2 linked regions of the Drosophila melanogaster genome follow. The protein of the gene in region 1 interacts with the protein of each later gene in a pairwise test. Each region holds a gene or a part of one and is shown on either strand. Other genes may lie near its edges. The genes, in order: fs(1)K10 and CtsK1.

Region 1 (6,291 bases):
GAGTCACTAGCGCAGTTCTGTATAGCCTGCACTATCAAGCCGAAGAGCTGGTAGATATTGATGAGCACATAGTTTCTGGTGGAGTGCATCCAGTCAACGCCGAACCAGGCCGGATACAGGAGCTCTCGATCCGGGCGAACGACCACGCGGACGCAACTCAAAGTAGTGCCAAATACGAAAATACTGGCAAAGGTGCGGAAAGTGCCCTGTGCGATATTCACTTCCTTCCTCAAGGCAGAAATCTCCTCGGGATCGCCCACCAGCCGGGCTCTAGCGTCCATGAGCCTTAGGAGAGAGCGAATCTCATGGAGCTGCTTCCTCACCATGTACACATTCGCAAACTTCAAATTGGCCACAATATCGGTAATAGTTATGGTCAGGTTCTCGCACAATCCGGCCATGTTGGTGGTGAACAGCAGCCTGGCCAGCAAGCTCAAGGGAAACAGCACGGTGACCACCAAGTTGACCGTAATGGAGTATACCACGTAAAGCAGGCTTGAAACGCCCGGAGGACGCATCAGGCCAGTGAGCTCCCAAACGCGCCAGTGGTAGTACACAGCACTGTGGGTGTTCAGTTTGAAATCCTCTTGCTTCTCCATTGTCTCGGTTACCTTTGGGCAAATCCATGGGTTCTATTGCCTATATACTCTTGCGATTACCAGTGATTGCGCTATTAGCTATTAGATGGATTGTTGGCCAAACTTGTCGCTTAAGTGGCTGGGAATTGTAACCGTAGGCCCGAGTGTAATGATCCCCCATAAAAAGTTTTCGCAATGCCTTTATTTTTTGTTGCAAATCTCTCTTTATTCTGCGGTATTCTTCATTATTGCGGGGATGGGGAAAGTGTTTATATAGAAGCAACTTACGATTGAACCCAAATGCACCTGACAAGCAAGGTCAAAGGGCCAGATTTTTAAATATATTATTTAGTCTTAGGACTCTCTATTTGCAATTAAATTACTTTGCTACCTGAGGGTTAAATATTCCCCATTGATAATAATAATTCCACTATATGTTCAATTGGGTTTCACCGCGCTTAGTTACATGACGAGCCCTAACGAGCCGTCGGTGGTCTATAAACTGTGCCTTACAAATACTTGTAACTCTTCTCGTTTTGAAGTCAGCAGAGTTATTGCTAATTGCTAATTGCTAATTGCTTTTAACTGATTTCTTCGAAATTGGTGCTATGTTTATGGCGCTATTAACAAGTATGAATGTCAGGTTTAACCAGGGGATGCTTAATTGTGTTCTCAACTTCAAAGGCAGAAATGTTTACTCTTGACCATGGGTTTAGGTATAATGTTAACTGGTTGGGAGATTGGTGCTATACTAGAGTTTTTACGTTGGGTCCCCTAGGCTCTACTATTCCGCTAAGTGGGGCTGCTTTGGCGTTACTTGTCAGGTGGATCCGGTCATGAAGATCAAGAGCGTGATTAATCTACAAGTCGGTAAAGAGAACAGCGGAATTGGGTCAGGGACGGGGTTGGGTGGGGAAAAAGAACACAAAAACAAATCCGTAGATGCACACCATCGAGCACACGTTCACAGAGTGATCTTAATTTGTAGTTTTTAAGAATTAATTTAAAAATACAATCAAGTGGTGTAATCTAAGGCCTACAGTGTGATTTATGCCAGAGTGCTTAGGATCCGGCCACTCTGTTTCAATTATGTCGCGCCCACGCACTCGGGCAACGAATAGGAAAATAATTTATATATATATATATATCAATATATATGCATACATATATAGGTAAGGGCGTGTCATAAATTGTGTACACATACTTGAAATGGCTGCAACTTAGAATTGAACAACAAATAGTTTTCGAATAGGAAACTGGTACGTTACGTTACGTTACGGTTACATTTCAATACTCTACTTTACGTTACGCTAGGTTACGTTAGACAAGTGAATCGATTCGCAATCTAAATTTTTATCGCTATTACTAGAGTTTCGCCCACATTATTATCGCTGGGTTTGTATTTGTTGCTACATTATCGTTCTAAGCTCAGTTCTCAGTCGCAAAAGCAACGTGTGACAAAGGCGGCGCCTCCTCGGATTACGATTGTGTATACGTATATCCGATATAGGAGTCGGGGTTTTGAGTTATATTCGTCTTCAATTGTCAGACTCTTGCTGTTGCTCGCTGTTAGTTTTAGTTTTGAATTGCTCATTGGTTTAAAGTTTAAGTTTACATTTAGTTCTGTGAGTCGACCGACCTCTTCTTTAGTCGGTTCGATTCGATTGATTCGGTATTCGGATTCGGTTGCATTGGCTGCCTAGGGATTTGGAATTGTTGCATCTTTAGCGCTTCCGGCCTTAGGGGCTGCGCTCTGACTTGAAATTGCGTTTTTGTCTTTGTCTGACTTGGCATCCTGCAAAAGAAATACGAGAATTGCCAACGGTGTTCAATAGCAAGGTTGTTGAGTGTGTAAAAAGAGCTCTCAGATCTGTTTTCGCTATTAAATGCATTCTGCGAACTTCTCTTGGCTATTTCCAGATAACTACGCCCACGAACATTAATCACTCAAATCATTATCATTTCATATGCAATGAGTTTCATAAGTTGGGTTATATCTGCTAATTAAGTAACTAAATTGATGTTCTGGCAGTTTAAAATTCATTAAGTTCGCTTTTCACATGCCAACCAAATTGGAAAATGAAAACAGCCATAGGATTCAGTACTGAGGCTCGTTCAATTAAGAATATTAAGTTACTAAGAGTGCATTTATGAATCTACTACGCCTGCCACGATCGAACAGTACAAAATTCTATTAGTTTTTTAAATTTGTATACAAGGTGGCAGTAAACACATTGTATTGCAGTTCTAAATAGTTACACAATTTTGTTCAGTTCCTAATAAATCTATGGTTGTAAATATATGCCAATAGTTTCTCTTTTGCGGATATATATCAGTGCCAAGGGAACAACCGAAGGTGAAAATAGATATGACAACAACCTTCCGCAGGACTGCAGGATAATGCGAGAGAGTGCATCAGGTTGAGACTTACTTTTTCACTTTCTCTGCTCTCTTATTTTTTTCCTACCGCCCGGCAAACGCAACAAAGAGGGACGGGTGGGGGTTACGGATCAAATCAGGGGTGCAAAGTGATTCCGGATTAAGCCGAAACTGTACCCGGAATCGGTGTGCCTCCCTGAATAGAGCTTCGGATGGGACACCTGTTCCAAGGGAATAAGGATATGTTGGGGGGTCTCTATATGCTCACCTTGGCCTTGACAGTGGCTGCCTCCTGCTTGAGATACTCTTCCCGCGCCGCTTCGTAGAGACTAACGAACTTGTCCCGCTGGCCCTTGTACTGAGCGAAGAGCTCGTCGTCTTTGTGGCCCTTCAATCTGTTCTCGATGTCCACCTTCTTGTCGTGCTCGCTGCGTATCTCGTCCGTTACCCAGGGCTTTTCGATGGGATACTGATTGATCAGGTTCTTTAGTGTCTTTATGCTGCTCTTGCCTTTCACCACCTGCTTGATTAGCTTGGGATTGGGCTTCATTATCCGGCCGCCATTCATGTTCATTGGTCCATAAGGTCCGACCGGTGGAATTCCCCGCGGCGGCATCCGTGGACCCATCATGTGCATGGGCGGTGGGACACCCATCATAGGACCTGGACCGGGTCCGTTGCGACGCATAAAGAGCGGTGGCGGCGGCGGTGGTGGTCCACCCATGGGGCCCATGGGTCCGGGACCGCGCATACCAGGCACCGGTGGCGGGAAAGGCATTTGCGGGTAAGGTCCTCCAGGGCCCATCGGTCCGGGTCCCCGTGGTCCGGGGCCCATCGGACCCATTGGCGGACCCATCATGAGGCGTGGAGGAGGACGGTTCGGAGGCGGCCCGCGTTGGAATCCATTAAAGCCACCGCGAATCTGATTGGGATTGTTGCCCGGATGGCGCTGCCAATCGCTTCCGTTCATCTGATTGTTGAAGGGCTGCTGCGACTGGTTCATATGATTGTTGTTCTGGTTGTTCATCTTGCCCTGCTGCTGGTTCGGACTGAGATGCTGCTGCTGGTTCGAATTGGGATGCTGCTGCTGGTTCGGACTGGGATGCTGCTGCTGGTTCGGACTGGGATGCTGCTGCTGGTTCGGACTGGGAGGCTGCTGCTGGTTCGGACTGGGATGCTGCTGCTGTTTGATGCCCTTCATAGACTTCTTCTTGGGACTGCCTACCTGATTGTGTTTGAATCCTGGTGGCGGGCTGCTGAAGTCAATGTACAGGGGATCGCTCGGCATTTGGCTGGAGGAAAACATCATCTGATTGTTACCGTTGACCCTGTTACCATTCCCATTTCCTCCTGGTCCGGAGTTAATTTTGCCCGAACGAAACGGTTTTCTATACGGAGCCGCAGCTGCGCGGGGATTATTGTTGCAATTATTATTGTTGCTCTGGTTGTTGCGGTGCTGCAGATTTGGCTGCTGCTGTTGCTGAAACTGTTGCTGCATTTGGTGCGGGTGCTGCTGCTGCGACTGCATGGTCCAGTTCTGATAGAATTGGTTCTTGGACACCATTGCAGGTAGCTGGATTTCACTGAAAACGGGGGTTCAGGACTCGAGCAGAGGAGCCAAGCCGAAACGACAGGCGGGGAGCAGATGGATCTAAAATGTTGCACGCCTATTTGTCACAAAAACTTATATTGAAAATATTACGATGAATCGATTGCGATAACGTTTCGATACCAGTGCTGTCGAAGGAGTGTGAACAACTATAACAATCAGTTTTTCCCACTAATGTATGTTTCCACTAACACAAATGTAACATCACAGCACATTTTAGAGTATCTCAACTTTTGTTATCGCCTGCGCTGTTATCGATAAGCGTACTTCGCACGTGTGATTTAAATCAATGTTTATATTATTGCCCAAAGTTAATTCTGTTACTTTATTTTATTAACTATATTGGTAAAGTAAAGTAATCATGGGCAAGAAGGTGCACAATGCCAAGGCGCGGCAGAATCCACAAACAATTGTGGACAACTCGGCCGTGAAGAAGGTAGGTCATCCGTCGGACCACACACTCGAATCCGCTTTCTTACCCTTTCCAAATCCAATACTCTACAGATTCAGATCGATGTGGATGCTGTGGCCGGCGGCAACCAGGTTGGCTACGATGAGGCCAACGCTCTGGTTCTGCCCTCCGAGAAGCGGGCCACCAAGATTAAGGTGGACAAAGTGCAACACGTGAAGATCCTTTCCAAGAAGCAGCGCAAGCACCTCCAGGCTATTGTGGACAAGAAGAAAAAGAAAGAGGGTGTAGGTTTTTATTCAGTGCTAATATAAAACTGATATTTAATTGAAATCTTTTCTAATTTAGCGCGCTCAGCTGTTGGGTGACCTTGCTGCCGTTCAAATTCCGGAGGAGGAGCTGCAGCAGTATACTTCCATTAGCCAAGTGCAAACCGTGGGATTAAAGCGTCTACCCACCCTTGACGAGTATCTAGCCAAGAAAAAGGAAAGACAGGCCCAAGTTTTAGCTGAAAAAAGCTCGGCGTCGGGTCTCCGCGTAAATGCTATAAAGGGCTCCAAGCGCAAGCTTCTCGTCGAAGAGGAGGAGGAACTACAGGCCAAGCGAAAGAATCCGAATGTAATTAGCGTGGAGGAAGATGACGAAGATTCTTCATCCTCTGATGAGGACGATGAGGAGGCACCAGCTCAATCCGCTCCTATTGCCATACCCACTCCAGTGTCTATAGCTCCACCGCAAATCGCTGTTAAACCACCCATTAAAAAGTTGAAGCCAGAGCCTAACCCACCTGCCTGTATCCACCAGACTGTCTATGTGCCCGTACATCGGACAACAGAAGTTCAGAATGCCCGTCTTCGACTGCCTATCCTCGCGGAGGAGCAGCAGGTGATGGAGACAATCAACGAAAACCCCATTGTGATCGTGGCTGGTGAGACTGGCTCTGGAAAGACTACCCAGCTACCGCAGTTCCTGTACGAAGCGGGGTATGCCCAGCACAAGATGATTGGAGTGACGGAGCCGCGGCGAGTGGCTGCTATTGCCATGTCCAAGCGGGTGGCCCACGAGATGAACCTGCCGGAGAGCGAGGTGTCATACCTCATTCGCTTCGAGGGAAACGTAACACCAGCGACGCGCATTAAATTCATGACAGATGGTGTGTTGCTTAAGGAGATCGAAACTGACTTTCTGCTTAGTAAGTACTCAGTGATCATCCTGGACGAGGCGCACGAGCGCAGTGTTTACACAGACATCCTAGTGGGTCTCCTGTCAAGGATCGTGCCCTTGCGTCACAAACGCGGGCAGCCGCTGAAGCTGAT
Region 2 (4,950 bases), on another chromosome or scaffold:
TTGGCGCAATTCCAGGGATGCAACATCTATGCCAATAAATATGTATTTAAATTTAGACTTATTTGTTGTTATATCAAATTAACTTATAAATATATTATTTAAAATGAACAATTAATCTAAAATGAAATGTAGTAGCAGTGAAAATTGTAGAATCAGTTGAAAGTATTCTTCATGTTATATTTTTAATTTATTTTAATTGAAAAACTGTAAAACGGGTTTAATGTAAAAATTCAATGCTTTGCTTGCAAGTTTTTTAAATAAGAAGGTATACTTATTTTTAGAATCATTATTCAAAGTAAAGATTCTTAAAACTAATTATATGTTTAATTTAATATTGATGAAATTAAATGATTAAAATTTTTAAAAATGTAGCGAGTTTTTACTGTAGAAATGATTTCCACTACAAATGGCAAAGACCCCGATTCGCATAAAACTGTTGCAACTTGCGCAAAGTTCAACTGGTAACTGGTCATTGTCTTCTAGGCTTATCGGCTTATCGGCATGGAATTAACTTAAGAAACACCATGGACTGCGGAGATAATGACCCAAGCTAAACTTAGCTCCATTTCCAGCCAAGCGGAGCAGTGATAAGATTCAAAAGACTTGGATTACAAAAGAGTTTATGAAATGTATTGCATATTTAGCGCCCTGTGGGCGTAAAAATAAAAAGAGTACACAAAATAAGAAATATGTAGGCGGGAGCGGGACAATCTACATCTCCACATAAGTGGGCATGGTCATAACACCGCAATTGTTCTTCTTGGCCGACATCAGGATGTAGCCATCGTTGCCCCAGTAGGTGGACCACGAGTTCTTCACCAGCCAGTAGTCCTCTCCATTGATCGAGCCATAGCCCACGGCCAAGACAGCATGATCCAGTCCATCTACATCGTTCTTGCACGTTGGCTCATAGTAAACTCCGTGCGAGTAGAAGCTAAATGTCTTGGGAGAAGCATCAATGGCCACCGACAGAGGACCGTGCTTGAGCAGAGCCAGCTTGAAGGCATTTGGATCGTTGGAGGTCACATTGACGAATCCCTTAATAGGTGCCACCAGCGTCACGTTGTTGACGTGACAGTAGCCATCCTGGCCCAGATAGGGACCGTACTCCTCCTCCGTGGGCACTCCGCCGGACTGCAGCATCCACTGGTACACGCGGAAATCCTCGCCACCATCGCAGCCATTGTTGCCATAGGCCCACGAGCAGTCAATCAACGCCTGCTGGGAAAGCCGGACCAGATTGCCGCCATTCTTCAGGAAGAAGGCGCCCTCCAGGTGACCAATGGTGCCAAATGACCAGCACGATCCGCACACAGATTGATCTAAGGGTAGTTTACGTTTTAAGCAATTCAATATTATCAAATTCATCTAAGTAAGTACTTAGGGAATGAATGAACCCACCTTTCACCGGAGTGACAGCGCCGTATAGCCGCCAGTCGTACTGGTCGGGAATCTCGTCCTTGTACTTGGGCACATCATAGGGGAACGGTTTGCCGGTGTTGTAAATGCCCGATGATTTGTATCCTCGTCGTGCCTTCAACTCCTCTTCGGTCTTGTCGGCCAAGTGATTAACGGCCAGCGTGTAGGTGAGTTTGGCCCTGTTCTTTGAGTGGATGTAGCGCAGGTTCTGACGGAAGATGTTCTTGCGATGCTCGTGTTCCGTGTCGCTGTGATAAGCAACTCCGTGCTTGCGCTTGAAATGGTGGAAGGCCTTGTCCACATGCTCATCGGTTCCGGATATAAACTCCTGCATGGGATTGAAGGTGGCATAGTGACCGGTGCCGGGTCCGGGGAATCCGACGCACTGCAGGCTGTCATCGATCTCGAACACCTCGTTGGGAATATCATCGTGCTCGTAGCTGTCATAGTCCAAGTAGTAATGATCGTAGTGCGATCCCAGCAGGGTGTTATAGCCCCTCATCTCGTAGCGCACGGGAATGGGCATTCGGCTGGAGGGATAATGCGGCGACTTCTTGTACCGCACCCACAGCGTATAGATGTTCTTCTTTTGGCCAATTGTCGACTCCAGGCGGAACTTGTCGCACGTGTAGCCCAAAAAGGATTCGGTGCCCACCAGGCTGAAAGGTTTCGCATCGGGCAGGATGCTCTGAATATCGACAGCCTGGTCGGCGGTGCCATTCACCTGCAGACAGGTTAGCTTGTTGTTCTCCGTCTTGGTGGTAATCGGTGCCAGCTTCAGCAGGGTTCCGTACTGACCCTCGCCAGCCAGTTGGTATGTCTTCACCATTCCGCCGTAGTAATCGATGCGGGATCGCCTCGTATTCTTGTCATACCAGGCGTAGAAGGGTTCCGCAATCTCGGCGTACGGAATGTACAGGGTTCCTTTGACTATGTAGTTTGGATCCCATTTCGGCGGATTCGTGGCATTAGCTATTGTCGTTGGCGAAAGTGTGGAGAGATTCAGATGAGAAATGAGCGGGAACTTGACAATAAGAAACGGTAAAGGGCAGCCATCGAGGTTTAAGCTCACGCCATTGCTTATATACTTCGTATATATACAGCTGCGGTCAAAATAGCAGTACATGCCCTTTTACGTTTATTTGATCTAATTTAAAAGTTTAATAAAAACATGTTCTTTTTACTTTTTAAATATACTTCATGGCAAAAAAAATGATGATAAGCTAAAGTTTCAATCCTAAAACGATGACCTCGATTGTTTTAATATATGCATGTGTGCATTAGTTTAAAGCGCACACAAACGCAGAAACAATTACTCTTTGTTTGGCTAAACACTTTAGCATTCTAACGTCTATAACTCACCTGAGAAAGCCAAGCCTGCGAGCAGGGCTAAAGCTAAAAACACTTGCATTCTTGAGAATTCACCAGAGAATTGTCTGGAATATTAATTGATCCCGACTCTAGTATACTACCTATCTTTTCGAAGAATTAAACTGTTCTGCCGGCTCAATAGTCCGATTGCTTTAACAACAACTTTCTATGGGTGAGGAGATAACGCCGCCGTGAAAAACATCGGTATTAATCGGTTGAAGAGCTTTCTAGTTTGTAATAAGAGCTTATCAAAGTTCTTTGCTTTTTGTCATGGTAGTATTTTATTCTACAAATTATTCGCAATTCTATGTAATCCGTTAACATTTTCTTTTATTTAAGAATTTCTTTATTAGAAGAAATATCTTTTCTGTTCACTTACTGAAGAATTGCTTCTTTATTTTAATAAAATATCATGTGCTTCGATTTTGTAACTTAAGAGGTTTAGTTTGATTTTGCAATATTATTTTAAATATCGATAGCAATTACAATTTTTATTGCGTGCACAGGGTGCACATGATTATACAGATATTTTATACATCTAGTGTGACCAAAGTGCTGAGATTAAATGTTTTTTTTTTTAATTTAAAATATTGGATGCACTTCTTTCTGGCTAAGCTTTCAATAAAAAATAATCGAAAAAACCGCGAATGATCTAATATTCAAGATTAAAATAGAAAAATTTGTCAGAAAAAAATAAAACCGTGTCTAGGGATCAAAATCGGGATTGGAAAAATTCTATTTTTAAATTCGTTAAACAGCTGACAGTCAGGAGGTATAGATAGTCACTCATCTGTCTCATCACAACGACTCTCTCTCGGCTCTCTCTTCCCTTCTCTCTGTGTCTCAGCGATATAAAGTCTCACCCTCTCTTCGGAACTTGAACCTACTCCAAGTTTTGCTGCATTGCGCCCGCTCTCAAACCGAACCGATAGTCGGACAGCACGGGATCCCGAAAGGACCCCGAGCAGATGTCAAGCTACCACCGAAGGAGCAGCATCGTCGTCGTTGTCGTCCTCGCCCACACATCGTTCTTTACCGTTACAGCTGTGGGTTCGGCTCAGTACCGTTAAGTTCGCCAATCGCACAAGTTCGATTCCCAAATCGCATGGTTTTTTTATACCAGCAAGAACTAGACAACACACAGATATCTGGTAATGTTGTAAGACGTGGATTAATGCAAACTGCAAACCGTACAAGTGCGCCGTACAAGAAAACGCAATTAAAAGTGCATTAAAAATTAAACGAAAAGTGCTTGTGTGTGCGTGCCAGTGAGGCAAAAAGTTTTGCCTGCGCCGAATTGGCCAAAGTTAAATGTTTTAAACGCCAAGTTAGGCGAATTATGTGAAAGTTTTAACGCGATAGGCGAAAACAAAATGTTTCTGTAATTGGCGGCGGAGGAAAAGCAGTCCGAAAAAGGTAGCAACGTTGCTGAAAATGAAATCAAACTTTGATTTATCGCTGATTGGTTCCTGATTGGCTGTTTTGGCAGGCCTTTTGAATCCCCACACAAAAACAAGAACTCCCAGACGAACATACATATACATGATCCATCCACATACATAGGTACTACAATACAATACATATGTATGTACATAGCTGTTGGCGTTTATATGTATGTGTTTTTGGTTCAAATCTGTATAGTATTATGGGCATAGAGGAGCATTTCCTGCCCTTGTCACAGTTGTTACATTTTCTCTATTCCGCCGCTCACCAGCTCACACAGTCGGTCATCAAAAAGTCAACAAAAACAATATAAATTATGTTCGTGGAAAAGCACAAGCAGCAGGATGCTAGAAGACCTTGAATGCCTCTTAAGGTGTAATTGGATATTGACGTGGAACGAAAATTGCATTTTGAGCAAGGAATAAGAGCTTCTTTGTAAAAGGATTGTTTGTAATATGAAGCATATTTGTTTTGGCCTTTTAGTGGAATGAATGTGATTCAATATAAAAATACTTTTGACTTCGTTTTCTCTCAATTTTTAACAAGAAATAGTTAACCATTTAGTGTAGATAATCAAAATCCTATGTGCGAAACTAGAGAATCATTTATTTCTCCCTAAAAGAGAAATATGTAAATAGTAACGTCGTATCCATTTAAAAAAAGACTAGTAAATTTAATTTTTAAATAACATTTACCTAAATTCCTGGAACCAAACTG

The links.
Region 2: the proteins of fs(1)K10 (region 1) and CtsK1 interact in a two-hybrid assay, tested with the Drosophila melanogaster proteins (one large-scale study listed by BioGRID).

What each region holds. Positions count from the first base shown.
Region 1 is NC_004354.4:2,240,539-2,246,829, reverse strand, and holds fs(1)K10 (female sterile (1) K10), read right to left. Parts: upstream 4,693-6,291; 5' UTR 4,522-4,692; coding exon 3,226-4,521; intron 2,374-3,225; coding exon 2,278-2,373; 3' UTR 789-2,277; downstream 1-788. Other genes in the region: Or2a (odorant receptor 2a), read right to left, coding at 1-599; kz (kurz), read left to right, coding at 4,928-5,002, 5,071-5,262, 5,324-6,291. UniProt on the Drosophila melanogaster protein: May be involved in localization of sqd to the oocyte during oogenesis.
Region 2 is NT_037436.4:13,992,232-13,997,181, reverse strand, and holds CtsK1 (cathepsin K1), read right to left. Parts: upstream 2,952-4,950; 5' UTR 2,831-2,951; coding exon 2,782-2,830; intron 2,392-2,781; coding exon 1,402-2,391; intron 1,323-1,401; coding exon 712-1,322; 3' UTR 611-711; downstream 1-610.